Diceros bicornis minor: one gene and its partner. The protein of the gene in region 1 interacts with the protein of each later gene in a biochemical or structural test. Links are inferred from orthologs where the notes say so. Each region holds a gene or a part of one and is shown in the gene's direction. Other genes may lie near its edges. The genes, in order: PSTPIP1 and PTPN18.

Region 1 (9,956 bases):
TACTAAATCTGAAAGCTCTTTGTCAACTCGGAAGAGCTGTATGAGTGCGAAGAAGACATTTTTTGCAACTGCTTTCCCGGAGCAAACAAAAAACAGAATCTATAGCACATCCTGAAGGCTGAGGGCCACACTCTCAGCCCCCACTGAGGATCTGGGGCTGGGATGTCTCCTGGTGTCAGATTTACTGTCTGGGAGCCCCACCCTGACCCTGCATGGCCCGTGGTGTCTGCACTTCCTCCTCAGCTGGGGACTGTCCTTCTTTCCCCTCCCTACTCATCAGCTCCTGCCCCAGACCCTGGGCTGACCCCTCACCTCCAGCCCCATATTCTAGGAAGGAAAGACCCCACTTAGGATGGGACTCTGACAATTAACTGACCTCTCTGAGCCTCCATTTTCTTATCTGCTGGATTAAGTGAGACCTAAGGCATGTGAAATGTTTAGCACAGGGCCCTGGGCAGTGAGACCCCCGCAGGCTATTACAATTATTCTGGAACTCCCTTCCAGCCTGGCCTCACTGGTAAGTTCCTTCTGGTGAGTTCCTTCTCCTTAATCAGGCTGCAGCTCTCCTTCTGCAGGAGGACTTCCCAGGCCAGCTTCTCAGCAGGGCTTCTCTCTGATTGTGCACACTGCTGCCTGCCACTCAGCACATTTCCCCTCCTGGGCTGCCTCCCCACCAGACTGGCAGGAGCCGTGCCTTGTTCATTTCCAAGTCCCCAGACAGGAAGGCTCAGTAAATGCCCATTGGTGCACTGTGGTGGGGCTCCTTCCATGCCGGGCAGGGCAAGTAGGGTTAAGAGTAGGAGCCCCAACCCAGTGGACATGTGCCTCTAGCTACCTGGAGGGACCGTGCAGACATTTCCCCCAGGAACAGTAGATCACAGTGTTCAGGTCCAGGAACATTCCAGTTCAGCCCTGGACTAGGCGGGCACCTGACAGCCATGGCCAGTAACTTGGCAGTGCCCTTGGCTCTTCCAGGAAGGAAGGATACATGTGTTGCTTGGACTGCCTAGTGAACGGCAGATATCAAGACAGCATGTTAGCACTGAAAGGGACAAAACAAATGTCCCTCGGCCCAGTGGCATTGCCGTTTCCACATGAAATTCATGGTAAGGGCCTTCTGGCTTCCTGATGTCACCAAGGAGCTTTGAGATGCTCCTTCTCTGCAGCCCCTTCCCCTCTCTAGAAGGCTCCAATCTAATGCTTCAGATTCTTCCTGTATGAGATGAGGTTGAAGGGTAGCTGGGACCGGATCATGCAGGGTCTATAGGCTATGTAAGGACAATGACTGTTGTCTTGAGAACAATGGAAAAGCATAGCAAGGTGACAACGGGAAGGTACACGATCAAATTTGGGTCTGAAAATGTCCCCCACTGTGTGAAGAACAGACAGTAGTGAAGTGTTGGCTTCAGGAATGTGAACTAATGCAGTTACACAGGGCTCTGTTGCTCAGAAGGGGTTTGCACTTGGGGCTTAATGCTCTGTGGTTGCCGTCTTGAAAATCTTACTAATGTTATCTTTGAATTTGTGTTTTGTAAGTGAAGTCTGATGCGACAATGAAGCACGCATCAAGGGCTCGGAGCCTCGGCTCATGTGTGATCCTGCCTCCTACTAGCTCCCCACTCCTGCCTAGCAACCACTGCCACCCTCTGCCCCCAGCAGGGACCTGGGTGCAGGTGTGGGGAGGCTCAGGGTTGCCTGGTGGCATCTCAGGATGGAGCACGGTGGTGGCTGTCCCTGCCCTGGGCTGACAGCACCATGCCACATTTGGCAGGTGACTCAAGGGGGTGAGTCTCTTGCCCACTCCTCACCTACATACCTAGTGCATCCTGGCATGAGTTTGTGATACCCTTGGGGATTGCCATCCACCATGGGTAAGGGAGATGCCTGGCTCGACTTTGCTGCCCCCAGCTGGGGAATGCAATCTGGTGGCTGGCGGAAGGACAAACCCAGAAGATGCTAGTCAAGACGTGGAGAGTGCTTGTCCCACAAGTATACCCTGCCCAAAGGAGTGGAAACATTAAATAGCAAATAAAGCACCATGACAGGTCGAGAGAACATGGCAAAGGAAAAAGCTTTCTATTTTAATAGTTTAATGGCAATTTTTTCCCTTACTTTTTTAGTAAGAGGCCCCACATTTTCATTTTGCATTGACCTCACAAATTATACAGCTGGTCCTGGTAGCGAGCAATCGATGAGATCAAGCATGTAAAATACATGCAGGCCCTGCAGGTATTAATACTCCCTTAGTGGTGGCTAGCACTATTGTTTTTGTTGCTTATTTGGCTCAAAAGAATGGATGAAGTGGCTTCAGGAGCTGAGCCCTGCCAGGTGACTGGCTGTGGTGATTGATGTTGTAAAAACTGATTTCACATTTTATTCTCAATCCTTGGACCTACTACTTTTTGAATTCTTCAAGCAGATGTGTTCAAATCCCATGCAAAACAGGATGGGGCTCTGCCTGCACAGGGGGACGCCCCCTTAAAAAAAGAGTGACAGCCTGGCCTGAGGTGCAGCAGCCCAGACCTCAAGGCAAATTGTGTTTTGAAGCAGCTGGAACAGTCGTTAAAAAGCTATGATTTTCAGGACTGGATTTCCCTCCCCGGGGGGCTGGTGAAGGAGGGAGGCTGGAGAACAGTTCCCTTTTCTGGGAGGGACACTCAGATGTCTCCATCCTGCTCCTCCACCTCCCCGATGTCCCACCAACCCATCCCCCCCACCCCAGTTGCCCCATCCAGGCCTCATCCCTCTCTCAGAGTTATTACAACACCCTCTTCCGGTCTCACCTCCTCTGAGCCACTTCGCATCCGGAGAGATCTTTCTAGAACCTGTCTGTGGACCCCTCAGGGCGGAGACTAGGTCTATATCCTCTCTGAGCCCTAGCTCCAGCAGGACCTGGCAGGAGTTAGTGCCCAGCAGTGTTTGTGGACCTGGTTGAGAGAAGGCTGTGGTGGTCACGGTGGTTGGCTCCCAACATCCATAACACCCCAATCAAGGGATCAGGGGAGGCCAATAATGGTGAAGTATGAGTATGTGACTCACTTCTGGCCAACGAGACACAAGGGAAAGTCTCCTGGGAGGCTGGGGTGGGGAGGACTTTGGAGAAAATGAGACACAAGGAGAAGTGTCCCTTCTCTTCCTGTAGATGTAGCTGTGTGTGGAGTTGTAAGCCAGAGCTGCTGCAGCCTGAGGAGGAAGATAGGAGATGGAGGAAAATCACAGAGAAACTGAGCTGGGGACCCAATGTACCCCACCCGGAGGCCACACTGCATCCAGATCCCTTGTGTGGGTGATAACACACTTCCTCCATGCCAGACCCTCTGGTTGTGTGTTCCTTGCAGCCAAAGCATCCTTAGCGGGTGCAAATAACACAGTGAACTTGGAAGACCACGTACCAGGGCTGGACTCTCACCCAAAAGCACCGCCAGCCCCAACAGCCTTCCTGGACTCAGTTTTTCCACTTGTAGATCAGGGTGAGATGTTCTGGAGGCAGAACTGGAGAAAGAAAGGGGGAAACCCACTGTTAAGAGAGGGCTGTCGGTAAAAGATAGCTGTGGAGGTTAACAGCATGCGTGGGCTTTGGCATCAGACAGATCTGGGTCCGAAGCCCAGCCCTCTGCTTACTGGCCGCCAGGCCTTAGGTGAGTCACATAAACTCTTTAATCACTAGTTTGCTCCTCTGTGAAGTGGGAATGATGATAGTGTGTACCCCACAGGATGGGGTGAGGGCTAAGCGTGGTGACCCACGTAGAAAGCTTAATGGTGCTCCCAACACTTGGCAAGTGCTCCCAAGCTGACTGGCGGTTCTGGTGGCACAGGCTTGGGAGCTGCATAAGCTGGGGTGGTGGGGAGGGGAGGAGGCAGATTTCTCTGTGGCGGAGAACTTGAGAGTCTCCTTAGATGCCTCCCATTACTCCTTCCCCAATTGCTCCAGCCCACAACCAGCATGCCATCCGTCTGGGGCTGCCCTGGCTGGACCAGAGCAGTTGGGAAATGAAGGCCTCATATGTGGGGGCCTTGAGGGATGGGAGAATTTACCCAGGTCAGGAAGATCAAGGAAGGCATGCCAGGAGGGAGGCTGGGGGACCAAGGGGCAAAGGTGTGGAGGTAGGGATGGGAAGGGTACCTTTGGGGAGAGGGTAAAGTCCTGTTTGAAGTGGAAATTCAGGGGGATGATGAAAAGAACCCCTGGAGAGGCAGGGGAGGGGGCCTGGCCATGAAATTTTCTGCCAATAAGAGGGTTTGTTGCTGTTAGTACCACTGAGTGAATTTTAACTCCTAGTGACCCTGTGTACAGCAGAGCAGAACCCTGCCTGGTCTTTTTGTGCCTTCCTCTCACCTTCCAGCACTATGTCAGACAATGCTCTGCTGCTATTCATGGGGTTTTCATGGCCAATTTTTTCACAAGTGGGTGGCCAGGTCCTTCTTCCTAGTCTGTCTTAGTCTGGAAGCTCCGCTGAAACCTGTCCACCAGGGGTGACCCTGCTGGTATTTGAAATACTAGTGGCATAGCTTTCAGCATCACAGCAACACGCAGCCGCAACAGTATGACAACCGGCAGACAGGTGGTGTGGTTCCTTGACAGGGAAACAAATCTGGGCCACAGAAGTGAGAGCGACGAATCTTAACCACTAGACCACCAGGGCTGGCTAATAAGAGAGTGGGAGCTTTCTATTAACAGGGGGTTTCTAGTCTGCCTCCAGAACTAGAGGCATCACCCCATTTGATAGGTCACAAAACTGAGGCCAGGGAGGCTGAGTCAGTGCAATCAGAAGTGGTTATGCCATGGGGATGAGGTACAGCCTCAATACTTAGCCTTCTGGGTTTAAGGTGATATTTACACCATTAGCTGTCTTCAGCTGCAAGCAACAGAAAAACCAACTGGAGTGCCTTCAATGCTGAGGGTGTGTATTAACTCAAACCCGAGGATTCTGGAGGTAGGGGGCTCCCAGGGGCAGCCCCACTGGTCTGCAATTCTCCCTGATGTGTTCTGTCTTGGGCAGCTATTTCAGAAGCTTGGGTGTGCCCCATCTGTAACCCTGGGCACACATAACTGGCACTTGGGAGCTTAGCTCTCTTCTGCAGCAGCTCTCATCCGTCTTACCACCCTCCGTCAATGGTAGGGGAGGCAGTGGCAAGGGTGGTGATTTGTGGACAAGCCTGACTCATCCCTTCTTGCCAACCCACCCTGGGGTCAGGCCCCCCTGCCGGCACCTTCTGCTGAGTGGGCAGGCCCTAGCTCCTCAGAGCTGTGTCTGGGGCTCCAGCCCAGGGATCTTCCCAAGGAGATACCAGACAGTGACCCCAGCACCTGCCCAACCAAACAGAAATTCCAGTAATGTTCTCAACACTGTCTCCTTCCCAAAGACTGGGGGCTGGCAGATGGGGAAACTGAGGCTCAGAGAGTTGGAGGGTCGATTAAGGTCCCTCAACCACTGAAGGGTAAGGCCCAGACAAAACAAAAACTGGGGCCTCAGTTTGGGTTTCCAATGCCTTTATAATCCTGTCTCTCTCGGTCCAACCACATTCTTCCAGCCTGAAGACTCCAACTTCAGAGCGTGGCTTCTTGCCCCAGAGTGTCTACTCTGGAGCTGGGGGGAGGGGAGCAGTGCCCATCAGGCCTCATGCTGTTCTCCCTTGGTTAGTTACCGGCTCATCCCACCTCTGTGCTCCCACAGCCCCCAGCCCCCAGCTGTGTCTGCCCCCAGACCGTGAGCTCCTTGAGGGTACGACATGGTTTGGGGCCCTGAGCAGCCAGGGTTTGATGAATGAGAGGGATGTCCTGGGCCTGGGTAAGCCCCTCCCAAATGGGTGGGTGAGGGGTGGAGAGTCTAGCATCTCTGGGCCTGGTCTGGAGTGGGGCTGGGTGGTGGGCAACAGCACCTGGGTTCCTGATTCCCTCCTTGCCCACACCTTCCCTGGGCCTCAGGCTCCATAAGTTGATGGCCTCTGAGAACGGCCAGCTAGGACATGAGAAAGGGGCAAGTGGAGGAGGCAGGCAGCAGGGTGGCAGGTGGCAGGCGGGGCTGCGCCGGGGAGCACAGCAGCTCTACTTCCTGTGGGCGATGGCCCTAGTGCCTGCCCCGGAGGAGGTTGCACAAACCTTCCTGCTCAGGCCTCAGGCTGCCTGCCCACCTGGCCTCTGCACCAGTCTGCCTCTCCCGCTGGCCACTCCTCTCAGTCCTGCAGCCTGGGCTGTGTCCTCATCCCCACGGGGCTGGCCAGGGGCCGGGCCGGACACCGGGACCCGCCCTCCCATCCCTGGGCACCCCGCCTTCCTCATTTTGCTGCTGATTCTAGCCCCAAACAAAATAAGTTGAGTCCTCTTCCTCCCGCAGCAGCGCGTCCCTGGCTTGCAGCTGCCTTCTGAGGCACTGCAGACGGCGCCGGCCAGGGAGGGGGGGCCTGGGCCAGCCCTGCCGGGTCTGGGACGGTGCGCCTGGCTCCTGGCCCTGTTCAGCCCTGCCTGTGGCAGGAGAGTGAGCTTTGCCGTGGCAGACGCCTGAGGATGATGCCCCAGCTTCAGTTCAGAGATGCCTTTTGGGTGAGTGAAGACGGCTGGGGCTTTGAACAAGTGAAATGGGCCCCGGGGGAGGCGGGCAGCTTGGCTGAAATTTCCTGTGGCAGTTCATGGGGATGTGGCTCCAAGAAGGGGGTTTTCTTATAAAAAATAGTGGTTGGTTTTTTGTCTTGGAAGATTTTTGTCTTGGAGGTGACCTGGGCTACTGTCCTTTCTAAGTTGTAAGATAAAGGGGGTCCTAGCCTGGGCCACTGATTTCTCTGCAAACTCACCACGGTGGATGAGGGATCTCCTCTGTGCTCCCAGGGCTGGGTGACCCTCTCTCCACAGCAGGATCTTTTTAGAGGAGTCTAATGTATGGGTGGGAGTTTGAGGCGAAGGAAGGCGGGGGTCGTGGGTTTGGGGACCAGACAAACTTGATCTTGGATCTTGGCTCTGCTATTTAGAGTCTGGACAAGTCATTTTACCTCTCTGAGTTTCATTTTCTCCATCTATATAGTAGAGATAAATATTAATAAACATACCAACTGAATGGAAGGATTAAACAAGGCGATCTAACGTCATCAAGTCCTGGCAACTTGCTGGCATGCCAAATGGTAATTCTCATCCCCTCACCCACCCTTCTTCCTTGAAGACCTGAGAGGTCCTCTGAGGAGGCAGCAGGGCTGGGTGATTCCTTGCTTGCTTTCTTAAATTCAGCACAGGCACAAATCAAGTCCTTTCCCCGTGAAATTATGGCCCCTGGCGGGCTCACAGAGGTGAAATGGCTTGGCGCAGGCCACACGGCCTGCAAGCCCCAGATCCCCTCAGCTTTTTTCCAGCTGTCTCTCAACCTTCCCGCCTGCTCCTCAAGCTCTGGCTTTCCCTAATGGCTCACTGGGAAAGTGGAGACCTCTCTGGTTAGAGTTGAGGAATGTGGCTGTCCGGAGGGTGCCCCTCCTCCAGCCCCGCAGAGGACTCCTTGGCCCTCTGCTCAGCCAGCTCAGCCTCAGCCAACAGCCTGCCCTCCCTGGGCCCTTTCCTGGGGCCTACGGCCAGGAGGATGAGAGCTAATGAGCCTTCCTTCTCTTCCGGTCCACGCTCTGCTTGAAGCCTATGGCCAGTGTGTGAGTGGCCTGCTTCTCGCTGGCACTGATTGCCCAGTGGGCAGTGGGCTGCCTGGGGAGGGCACCCTGTGCCTCTCTGGGCCTCCATTTCCCCATCTCAAAGAGGGGCTGGAACCAGCCTGGAGAATCTGATGGAGGCAGACCTGGCTCGGCCCATCCCAAGTATCAGGCTGGCAGGTGTGGGTGGGTGGCTGCAGTGGGGGAAGACAGGGGGGTGGTGAGTCACCACGTCACACCTCTGACTTTAAGTGTGTAGTTAAAGTAGGGCCTGGAAATCCAGGGTGCTCCGTAGCCCAGGGCAGGCCAGGAGATCCTAAGTGTCTTACCTCCAGGACATCTGGGCCCATCTTCCCCGGGGCAGAGCTGGGGCAAGGAGCAGCCTCATGGCAGGATCTGGGCAGCAGGGGATGGTATATGAGGGAGCAGGGTGTGGCGGCAGCAGCAGCAAGAAAGCAGCCTACCTGTGGTAGCTTCCTGAGTGGCAGCCCGCCCAGGCTTGCCCCACCTCTGAGCCGCTGCGGGCTTCATGGCCTCCGGATGCCTCCTCCCCTCCATTGCTGACTCCTTAGCCCTGGGTTAGGGGTACAGCTTCCCTGGGGAAGGCCAGAGCAGGGAGGGGGAGAGAAGTGGCCAGTGGGAGCCTCTCACACTGAGCCTAGGCAGATGCCCCAGAAGGTCACTGTCAGCATCACTGCTCCCAGGGCTCTGAATTCTAACACTTCCTCCTGAGGCTCAGCCCAGCTCAGTCCATGAGGAAAACTAAGACTACTGAGCACTACAGATGTGCCAGATGCTGTTCTCAGGACCGTGTATCTATCTACTCATTTAAAGTGATGAAGTAGATGCTATCCTTATCCCTGTTACTAAGAGGAGGAAGTTGAGGCACAGAGGGCTTAAGTAACTTGCCCAAGGTCACACAGCTGGGCTTAAACTGACATGTTGACTCCAGTGCTTGGGCTTGCACCTGGGGCACTTCATTATCCCTCAATTAACATAGCAGATCGCTGGGTCTTTGGGCCATATCAGTGAAATGGGGAGAAAAATTCTGTCCTTCCTACCTCCCAGAGAAGTAAGATCAGACGAGGTTGATAGGAGTATTTTGAAGCTCAATTTACAGACATACTGATTTAACTGCAGTCAGGTGTTAGGGACAGAGCCCAACCTCCCCCTCCCCCGTCTGCCCCCTTCCCCAGCCCAAGGCAATGCCATTGGACCCTGCAGCTTGGCTGCACACTGTTTGAAAATGACTAGTCTTTAATAGTGGGAGGAAGCCCCTGAACAAGAAGGATCATGTCTGATGCCGTAGCACTGCAGTTGTCTGGCAACCTCAAATCCAGAACACAGGTGAGAGCCAGCCCTGTTTCTGGCACTAGCTCTCAGTAAGGGGGCAAAGATGGTGGTTTCTGAAAAACTAAGAGCTTGCGCTAAAGCACATACACTTTATTCACGAGATGGCACATAGCTTTTAGTTAGAGCCTAGGAACCCTGATTTTACCTACAATTTTAACGAGCTTGGTCAGGTGCTCTTTTAACCTATAGATGCAGCAATTAGGAGGGGTCTACATGGAACCTGATATACAGCTGGTGATTGATAAATGTTGGTGGACCCGAGCTGTCAGAGACAGTTTCACAGGTAGCTGTAGCCTGATAGCAAGGGAGGAGACAGAAACGTTGTAAAAAGCAGACATAATGGCTCAGAAGTGGTGGGAACACTCGGTGTGGGAGCAGACCAGTCCTGTCCCTCGGTAGGCCTGTATTTGCAGTTTTGTCAGTGTGGCCACCCAGTATTTATTTATAGCCTGCTTTTATCTGTGGCAGAACATTCAGATGCAGGCTGCTGTGGGAGTGAGGTGGGGGTGGGCCAGCCATGGGGAGAGGGAAGGGATAATTTGATTTCTGTTAGACACACACAATGATAAAGAGCATCACAACTTTGCAGGAAGTTTGTGGCTGAGCCTCAGAGCGGGACCTGTCAGAGAGACAAGGCGGAGGCTGAGAACACCAGGTGCCCGAGCTGAGAGGGGCTTAGATCTCAGATAACCTGTCTCCGCACAGAGGCAGAGGGGCACAGGAGCCCAGAGAAGGCAGGGTCCTGCCCCACCCCCCATACACACAGCTCTCTTTGCCAGTGGCTCTGCTCCCAGCAGGCAGCCAAACTGTATTGCAAGAAACATCTGTCTGCATCCTCAGCACAGGGCTGGCAAGGGGGGCACGTGTTCAGTCAATGTCTGTAGAATAAATGAACAAACAGTGAAGGCCTCCCTGGTCCCACTGCCTTCCTGAACCCATTTTCTCCTTCATTTCACTTTAGTTATATTCTACAAATATTTATT
Region 2 (9,542 bases), on another chromosome or scaffold:
GTCCTTATGGTTTTCCATAAGATTTTCTAGAACTTTCTAGCTGATTATGACATATGCCTGTTACAGTGTTTTCGACAGACCCTTCCTCTTTTTTCCTTGCCACAGTGCATTGACTAGGACTTCACAACACCCAGCAGCAGCAGCAAGCAGTGAGATGCCCCTGCCCTCAGTCTCATTACAGGAATGCTTTCAGAGATGTTAATGCTTACCCAGACATGTATGTGTACTTACTTCTCTCTGGTTTTATAATTGGGTGGCAGAAGCCAATGCAGACAGATCATACCTCCCTTTGGCTGTTGTGATGCTGTGGGTTTGCGTTCAGCACCCACAGCAGGGCTCTGAGCTGTGCAGGACCCCAGCCAGCCTAAGCTTAAAAGAATGTGGCCAGACGTTAGCTCAGGGCTAATCTTCCTCAGCAAAATAAGGACGATTAGAAACAGATGTTAGCTCTGCGAATCTTCCTCAGCAAAAAAAAAAAAAAAGAGAGAAGAAGAAGAATGTGGCCAGTTGGTCTTTTCCAAATAAAGTGCTGCACACAGAGGTGTGCTTGTGCTGGGCTAAAATCAGGTGTAGAAACTGCAAGCCAAGGACACAGGGCAGCCTGACCAGAGGCCCCAGGATGCTACTACCCACATCACTGTCAGAGCATTTCTTTGCCTGGAGCTCACAGGAGCCTGAGCTGTCAGCTCAGAGAGCCCAGGGCTGAGTTTATTTCCTCGCAAGGCTTGTTCTGGCAGCTGGAGCTTGCTCTGGGTGATGAAGATGCCCAGGCTCTGCTCTGGAAGATGTGGGGCCAGCCTGGGGAAAAGTTGGTATGAACATTTTAAGGGTGTCATTTTCTAAAGATGGGAAAAAGGGCTTTCCATCTCCGTGCCTCCAGGGCAGTTCCTGAGGGCAGAGACCCAGCCTTCACAAAGGGATAGGCTGGAGTGGTGGCAGCAGGACTGAGAAGGAGGAGCGTGGCTTTCTCCTTGTGCATGCTCCCCCACTCTGAGCTGCTGACCTTTTGCCAGACAGGGACCAGGAGGGATCCTTGATTCAAAACAGTGAAACCCTGAGGAGAGTTGGAGGAGAACGTAACAAAAGCCCTCCCAAAGGCAGTTAGCTCCAATCCCTGATGGACGCCAGCTTCCACTTGTAACTGCAATGAGTGGCATTTTTCCTATTTGCCAAATGCCAGATTTGTGGATGGGTCAACAGGTCAGTCCATTCAGCCCACAGGTTCTTTTTTTTTTTTTTTTTTAATTTTATTTACTTATTTATTTTTCCCCCTAAGCCCCAGTAGGTAGTTGTATGTCATAGCTGCACATCCTAGTTGCTGTATGTGGGACACGGCGTCAGTGTGGCCCCAGAAGCGGTGCGTCGGTGCGCGCCCGGGATCTGAACCCCGGGCCGCCAGCAGCGGAGTGCACGCAGTTAACTGCTAAGCCACGGGGCCGGCCCCAGCCCACAGGTTCTTAACAGAGTGTTGCAGTGAGAGGATTTTTTCAAATTTCTTCTGCTCTTTTTTGCTAAGCCAAAAAATGAAGCCAGATAAGAACTATACAACGAGGATGTCAGGAGCCTCAGAGTATCTCCACTCCTGGGTATTGGGCAAGGTCATCGAGAGGATGTGACTACCGGTTGACCTGTGAGCTGGACCCAGGCAATCAGAGGCTCCTCACCCCCTCCCCTGTCCTTGGAATGTGGGTTCTACTTGACTTTCCGCTCCCAGAAGGACAGAGCCTTGAGAGAGCAATGTGGTGTTGAGACCGTCTGGACGGTGTACATGGCACCCCAGGTAAGGCCTCTATAAAAGCTTTTAAGCTTCTGGCGGGCAGGTGTGGAAATCTACTCATCTTGCAGCAGCCCAAGACAAGCCTCATAAGTAAGTTCCCTTGTTTATTAAACCCACCACCTACCAATCTGGAGTAGTCTGCCTCTTCAGTCTCTCCTTGCTCTCTCTGTGTGTTGGGGGGGGGCGGGGGGGGGAGTGGGGAGGGCTGGTTTCAGATTACACTTGGGACAATGCCTCTGAGGTTGTGACCCAACACAGGGTTGAGGTAATATCTGCCAGGTTTCTCCACTGTAAAGTTACGATTTTCCCCCTTGCAACATCAGCACAGGCTGAGTTCCTCATAGCACTGCAAAAGCTTCCCCCAGCGCCCTCCAGCACCCTGTCCACTTGGCTCTATTGAGTGGCCAGTTCAGCAAGCACTCTGAGCTGGCAAGCAGGTAGCAGACTGGCATGTGGCATGTGGGCATCAGGGTGCTCAGGATCTACAGGGGCAGTGCCAGCTGCTACTGCTGCACAGGATTGCCGCCAGTAGGGTGAACAAGAGGGCCACCAGCAGTAGCGAGTCCCATTGTAAGAAAACAGCTTGCAGTCCTCTGGGAGAAGGGAAGTGGGGTGGGCCAGGGCTGCTGGAGGAGGTCTTGAGAGTCTGCACATCGCCCACACCCAGCCTGAGCTGAGTGAAGGGCAAGCCCGGAGAGTCGGGATGTTTGGAGAGGCATGGGAGGATGGTCAGTGTCAGGAGGGCAAGCAGGATAAACAGTGAGATGGGGCCGTGGGGTGGGGTGGACATGCAGCCAGAAGGACACCTAACCTCGCTGGAAGGTGAACCACCATGGTTCATAGGCCATAAGATCTCAGCCAGATAGGCAGAAAGATCCCCAGACATACAGACAGACTTGTAGATGAACAGAATCCCAGGGAGACAGACTCCAGTGGGACATCCAGCCAGACAAATGGACAGATTCTTGCACAGATGGGAAGATCCCCAGATCCAGAAAGACATGTGGCCAGACACATGGACACTCTCCACTCCAGCCAATTGGAAGGTGACCGCAGCCAATCAAACGCAATCCCTCAAGGACAGACAGAACCTCCCAACTGGACAAAGAGATGTTACCCAAGCAGAAAGACACCCCATCCACCTAGTCAACTAGCCGGCCAGACTCTCAGCTTGACAGACGTACCTTCTGCCAGTAAGAGAGACCCCAGCCGATGAGAAAGTCAGGCCCTCAGCGGGATAGACAGAGCCTCCCAAGCCAGCTGGATAGACAGACCCTCAAGCCAAGTGGACAGATAGATAGATACACCCACCCCATCAGTCAGACAGAAGATCCCCAGCTAGCCAAACCCTAGTCACCACCAATAGATGATCTGGATGGCCCACTGACCCCTCAATGTTGTTTCTGCTCCCCAGGTACCACCAGTTTCCAGTGACTTTGACCTCTAATAACATCCACTACCACTAGGGTCCACAAAGACCTTCATGACGCCTCAGAGACTCTTCCCTGTTTACTGTGGTATCCACTAGTCTCGAATGACTACCATTAGTGTCCATAAGTACTCAGGAACTCAACAGTCTCCATATTTTCTCAGAGATCACTGATACTTCTGTATCCCACCACCCTGAGTTTCCAACAACCCATGACTATCCACAAAATCTCAGTGATTCCACATTTCCCTGTCATGCCCTGAGTAGGAGCCCTCAATGACCTTCCCTTCTTTTGACTCTTCAGTTACTTAAAGTAACTGACCTAACCTAACCCTAACCCTAACTGAAGTTACTTTAAGTAAGTAAAGTAACTAAAGTACTCCAAATCCCAATGAGTCCTCACTTTCACTCTCTCTCACTGACCTCCCAAAGACTGCCATTAACATCCACTGACGGTCCCTCATGAACATCCAAGGACTCCCACTACCTCCAGTGAATTCACTGTCAATGTCCATCCTCAGTGATCACTACTGATCACCTTTGAACACTCAAAGATGAAACTGATAAACACTGAGTCCACGGTGACCCCCACTAGCCCCTCAACAAATGAAACATCCCCACTGACCCACTTTAAGTGACCTCTCAGTCACTTAAACTGGGGTCAGCAAACCACAGCCTGCATATATATATACATATATATATATATGACACATGAAATTAAAATTTGTGTCCAAAAACAAAGTTTTATTGGATATAGCCACACTCATTCCTTTACATATTGCCTGTGGCTTCTTTCACACTGCCAAAGCAGAGTTGAGTAGCTGGGACAGAGACTAGAGACCAACGCCCTTTAAGAAAGAATTTGCCCATCCCTGACAATGCTCTGATAACCCCCTAATGAATTCAATCCACAACCTGAACCAATGACCTTGTTGACTCCTCAGTGCCTGAAAGTAAGTTCACCTCACCCGGTGGTCACCCTTCGACACCTCAGTGACCTCAAACTAGACTTCACAGACACCCTATCCAAAGACACCCCTCCCCGAAATTCATTCCATGACCCGGGTGAGGTGTGGGCTAGACCATCTAGCCAGGCCCGTCCTTGGCCGGGCCTTGAGGCTCCTCTCTGCTCTCTCTTCCCTTGGTGACCCCCCAAGCTGGAGCAGCAGTTGTACTCTGGCCTTTTCCTGCACATTTTCTCAAGATGAGGGTGCAGGGAGAGAAGAAAACAGAAGCTCTTTAGAAGTGTTGAGAGGGGCCGCCCCGTGGTATAGCGATTGGGTGCACGCGCTCTGCTACTGGCGGCCGGGTTTCGGATCCTGGGCACGCACCAACACACCGCCTCTCCGGCCATGCTGAGGCTGCGTGCAACCATGACATACAACTATCTACTGGGGCTTGGGGCGGGGGGGAACCGGAGGCAGATTGGCAATAGATGTTAGCTCAGAGCTGGTCTTCCTCAGCAAAAAGAGGAGGATTGGCATGGATGTTAGCTCAGGACTGATCTTGCTCACACACACACACAAAAAAGTGTTGAGAACGTCTTGTCCCCTGGAACCCACTTCCAGGGCCTCAGTTCTCAGTTTCACACCAGGTTTTTGCGGGTTGAACTCCTCAAATTAGGACTGGATCCTGGTGCCCCCACCCAGCCTGACCCAGAAAAAGAAGGAACCTCAGGAAATACATCAATACGGAAGCATTCGCCTCCACTCGGTCTTTCCCACAGCACAGGTGCCGCAATGTCATTTTTCCCCGCGGCTACCCCGCCTGACCTCCCTCGAACCCCGTCGGAGCGCACAGCGCGGACTCCACCCGCCCGGGGGCCCCGACGCAGAAGCTGCAGCTCGACCTCGGCGGCCCTCTCCATTCATAGCTGCCGACCCACCCTGGCTCGGACGCCGAGCCAGCCTAGCTCCCAGGAGACAGTCCGGGAAGCCAGGCTAGGGCGCGTGACCGTTCACCCAGCGCCGGACTCGCAGGGAGGTCGTCCTGGCCGCGAATCCTGGGCCCAAGCATGAGGGAGTGTCGTGGGACTCTGCGGACTCAGCCAGCCGGCGCGGCGGCCACGAAAAGGGAAGCACTCGCGCTGGACTCACTTCCCCGGCGCAGCCGGAGAGGACCCAGGGCTCTGGCACCGCCCGGGTCCGGACGCCTGTGGGCGGGGCAGGAGTGGCCTCTCAATGTCATTGGCCGAGGGGCGCGCCCTGCCGGCCGCTGCGCGCTTCCATTGACTGGCGAGAAAGGAGGCAGTCCGCCTCCAGCACTGTCTACACTCGCTGAGAGCACCGAACGCAGCGGCGGAGCGGATCTCGCTGGCCAGCGGCGCCATGAGCCGAAGCTTGGACGCGGCACGGAGTTTCGTGGAGCAGCTGGAGGCGCGGGGCGGCCGGGAGGGGGCGATCCTTGCCAGCGAGTTCAGCGTGAGTGGGCGAGTGTGGACGGCCGCGCGGTGCTCTCTGGCTCCTCGCCCTGGACTCTCCGGACGTCTCTTCCGTGCGCCCTGCTGCGCTTTGCCCCTCTCTTGGCGTCTAGCGGCGTCTCCTCTCCTCGAGGTCTATTTTTCTTTCCCCAGCACCTCTCTCTGTCGCGCTCTCTCCCTGTCGTCACTCTCCGCCCGCAGGGCCCCGGAGGGCGAAGTCCACGGCCAGGCTGGGCGGGGCCGCAGACACCCTCGGGTCCCCGTGCCCTCGTAGCGCTCGGAACAATCCCGCGGCTGGGCGGGGCGGCTGGGGAGGGCGGGCGCGCACCTGCGCTCCAGGCGACCCGGCGGTCACCTCTGTGGTCTTGGGAAGGGAGGGGCTGGGGGAAGAAGAACCAAGAGGCCCTGTGCGCCGAGGGTGTGGACACTGTCCTCTTGTCGGCTTTGTGGCCCGGGGCGGATTACCCAGCCCCTCTGGCCTCTGTTTCTCTTTGGGTGAAATAGGGACGTTAAAGATTTAAAGGATTAAATAACTGGGATGGGTAAAAAGCGCTTAGCACATCTTGAGCGCTCACTTTGTAGGAGCCTTTGTCATTAGTTATAAATATTCTAAACATTACAATGAGGTAGTGCAAGCCACACTTAAGGAATGCTATTGCAGCGTGATAGGCACTGCATACCACGCCTAATGAGATGTTTTAAATACAGTAACTTATGTAACAAATATAGACATATGCTATGCAAGTATGTAAATGCAATATATGGTGACATATATCAAATTTAGAAAGATGTGATATATAATAAATATATAAAAATGTTTGATAAATATATGATATAAATACTTTATATAATAAATGACTATAATCACTAAGTATGATAAAAATAGATAATAGAAACAAATTTATTAATTTTAAGTATAAAATACAGTGACTATGTAAAATTAATGATTTTAAATTACAATTTACTCAATAAACATTTAACTTCATAAAACAACAGAACATAAATACAGCATATAAAATTATAATTTATAAAATAAGCAGTTATTCAATAAGTTCCTAAGTAAATATAAAATATGTAACACATAGATAAAAGTACTATAATATAAATCTAAGTAATTTACACAAATATAAAAAGATACTGTATCTAAGAAATGTATAATAAATGCAAAATATATCATTTGTTCAATATGAAAATGTATCTAGTAAATGTAAACATATAATACCCAGGTGGCATACAGTGTCATGCCCATCCGGTCTGGCCCAGTCTGGGACAGTGAGCCCTGCTGAGGACCCCTGGTCCGAGGGCCAGGTGGTGGGCAGTGCCTGCACTCACAGGAGTCTTTAGGCCTTTCTGGGTGGTGGTTTCCTCATCTGTATAGTAGAAACATCAATAGTGGTCCCCACTACACTAGGATGTCCATGAGTTTTTAAATGACAGGATGGGCACAAGTAAAGCACTTAGAATGGTGGCTCAAACCCACTGGTGGCTTGGTAGCTGTTACTTATGTCGCCATGATTATGAATAACTGATGATGATGGTAATGTACTATTCACTAATTGTAATAATCTAACAATAATAAAGTACCTATAGTATCTTGTTACATAAATAATGTTATACATTATAATTCATACACATTGTATATTGTCATATATATCATATCGTGTTTGTTCTATTAAATACATAATACATTACAATTAGTGTATTACAATACAGTGTAATACGGAGTGGATGCTGAGAGGTCTGAGTTCAACCCTCACTGTGCCACTTCCACTTTGGGTGGGACTTTCTGCAAGTCTCTCAGCCATGTGGTGCGCCAGCTTTCTCCCCCAGCACAATGGGGACGTCGGTAATAGAACCCACTTCAGAGGGACCTTGTGATGATTCAGTGCCCTTAGCACAGAGAAGGCGCTCTGAGCCGCTGTTATTATTGTATCATTACAATCAGCCTGGACTCTGACCTGGCTCCTCTCTCCTCCCGGTCGCTCACGGTGCCTCCCGCCAGGACATCCGGGCCCGCTCAGCCGCCTGGAAGAGTAGCAACCTGTGCTCCACCGAGGCTGGCAGTCGGCCAGGGAACGTGAGAAAGAACCGCTACAAAGACGTGCTGCCATGTAAGTCGGGGGCTTCCGAGGAGTTGGTGCGGCTCCGCACTCGCCCCCCACCCCGTGCAGTCCAGGGTCACCGTATACTGCAGCGCTCTCTCTCCCAGAGCTTTGCCGCGGCTGCATTTCTCCCGAGCAGCCCGGAGTGCCCCCCAGGGGGATCCTTGCGAGGTGTGCTGCCCCATGCTGGCTTTCATGCAGGAGCCTGTCAGGGCCTTGATGCCCCTGTCACCCCCAAACTACACGTTTCTCACCTCTCCCGCTGGCAGATGATCAGACAAGAGTGATCCTCTCTCTGCTCCAGGAGGAGGGACACGGCGACTACATCAATGGCAACTTCATCCGGGTCAGGCTGGGAGTCAGGAAAGGGGCGGCTGTGGTGGGGGCAACCGCGGGACCTCGGTAGTGAACTCAGCCTTTACCAGGGCACAGACGGAAGCCAGGCCTACATCGCCACGCAGGGCCCCCTGCCTCACACCTTGCTAGACTTCTGGCGCATGGTCTGGGAGTTTGGAGTCAAGGTCAGCTTTGGGGGAGTGTGAGGTGGGGCCTGGGTTCTGAGTCCTCCCTTCACCCCATTTCCCCCACCCCCTAATCCAAATCACCTCCCTCTCCCCTGACTCCTCTTGTCTAGGTGATCCTGATGGCGTGTGGAGAGACGGAGAATGGGCGGGTAGGTGTTGTCTACCTCTAGAATGCCTTTCCTCGTCCAGGCGGGTGGCAGGAGAAATCTTGCTAGCTCCTCCCTGATCCCATGACTCAAGGGTCCAGTTCTTGGAGTGACCTCACTGTAGCTTTGTTGAAAGCCCACTATTACTCTCTTTAATTTGTTGTTGATCTTTTCCCTTTTATCCATGCAGTGCCTCCCTCCAGTGTTGGCAACCCCTCTCCTGCCAGTCTTCCCACCCCATACTGCACCATAGACCATAAGGCCCTATACTGCAGCTTCCCTGGTACAGCTGTGCTCTCTCTTCCCACCTCTGTCCCCTTTATTCTTTCCACTCAAAGTACTCTGGCTTTTGCTGTTTCTTAGATGTGCCAGGGATCGCTCTGCCTCTGGGCCCGTCCCGTGGCTGTTCCCTCGGTCCAGGCACTCTTCCCTTGGCTTGCTCCGTTTCTGCCTTCAGGTGTTTGCTCAAATGCTGCTTCCTCAGTGAGACCTTCCTGGGTCTCACACCATTTAATACTCCCAGCACTGCCACGCTCCTTCCCTGTCCTGCTTTCTTTTTTTCTTCACAGTTCTTACCAGCTTCTAATATACAAGATAATCTACTAATGCATTGTGTACATTGTTTATTCTCAGTCTCCCTGACTAAAAGATAAGTTCCATGAGGGCAGGGATCTTTGTTTTGCCTGTTAGCATAAATTAGTTAATCAATGTATGTCAACACTGCAGCCACATGGTTTCTGCATCCTGGCCTGCCCCATGGACAGGGTTAGGGGTGGGCTAAGTATTGTTGGGGTGACTGGCTGATCATGGAGTCTGTACAGTCTGTAGTGATGCCTATTTTTCCTTCCTGATTTTGGTAATTTGTGGTCTGTGTGTCTCTCTTTCCCATGTCAGTCTGGCTAGAGTAAAGATGGGTAAACTTCAGCTTTTATGCTAAATCTGTCCTGCTGCCTGTTTTGGTAAATGGAATGTGCTGGAACACAGCCACACACATTTGTTTACATGCTGGTTATACCTCCTTTCATGCTACAGTGTCAGAGGTCAGGACTTGTAAGTTAAGTAGATTGTATGGCTCACAAAGTCTAAAATATTTATTATCTGGCCCTTTATAGAAAAAGTTAACCAATCTCTGAGCTAGAGGTTTA

The links.
Region 2: the proteins of PSTPIP1 (region 1) and PTPN18 form a complex in vitro, tested with the Homo sapiens proteins (2 studies listed by BioGRID and IntAct). The link is inferred for Diceros bicornis minor from reciprocal best matches to the Homo sapiens genes PSTPIP1 and PTPN18.

Annotation. Positions count from the first base shown.
Region 1 is NC_080744.1:69,297,414-69,307,369, reverse strand, and holds the start of PSTPIP1 (proline-serine-threonine phosphatase-interacting protein 1), read left to right. Parts: upstream 1-6,108; 5' UTR 6,109-6,505; coding exon 6,506-6,541; intron 6,542-7,016; exon of another isoform or gene 7,017-7,110; coding exon of another isoform or gene 7,111-7,113; intron 7,114-9,956. UniProt on the Homo sapiens protein: Involved in regulation of the actin cytoskeleton. May regulate WAS actin-bundling activity. Bridges the interaction between ABL1 and PTPN18 leading to ABL1 dephosphorylation.
Region 2 is NC_080749.1:2,119,683-2,129,224, forward strand, and holds the start of PTPN18 (tyrosine-protein phosphatase non-receptor type 18), read left to right. Parts: upstream 1-5,031; 5' UTR 5,032-5,533; coding exon 5,534-5,626; intron 5,627-7,627; coding exon 7,628-7,736; intron 7,737-7,996; coding exon 7,997-8,073; intron 8,074-8,152; coding exon 8,153-8,248; intron 8,249-8,361; coding exon 8,362-8,400; intron 8,401-9,542. UniProt on the Homo sapiens protein: Differentially dephosphorylate autophosphorylated tyrosine kinases which are known to be overexpressed in tumor tissues.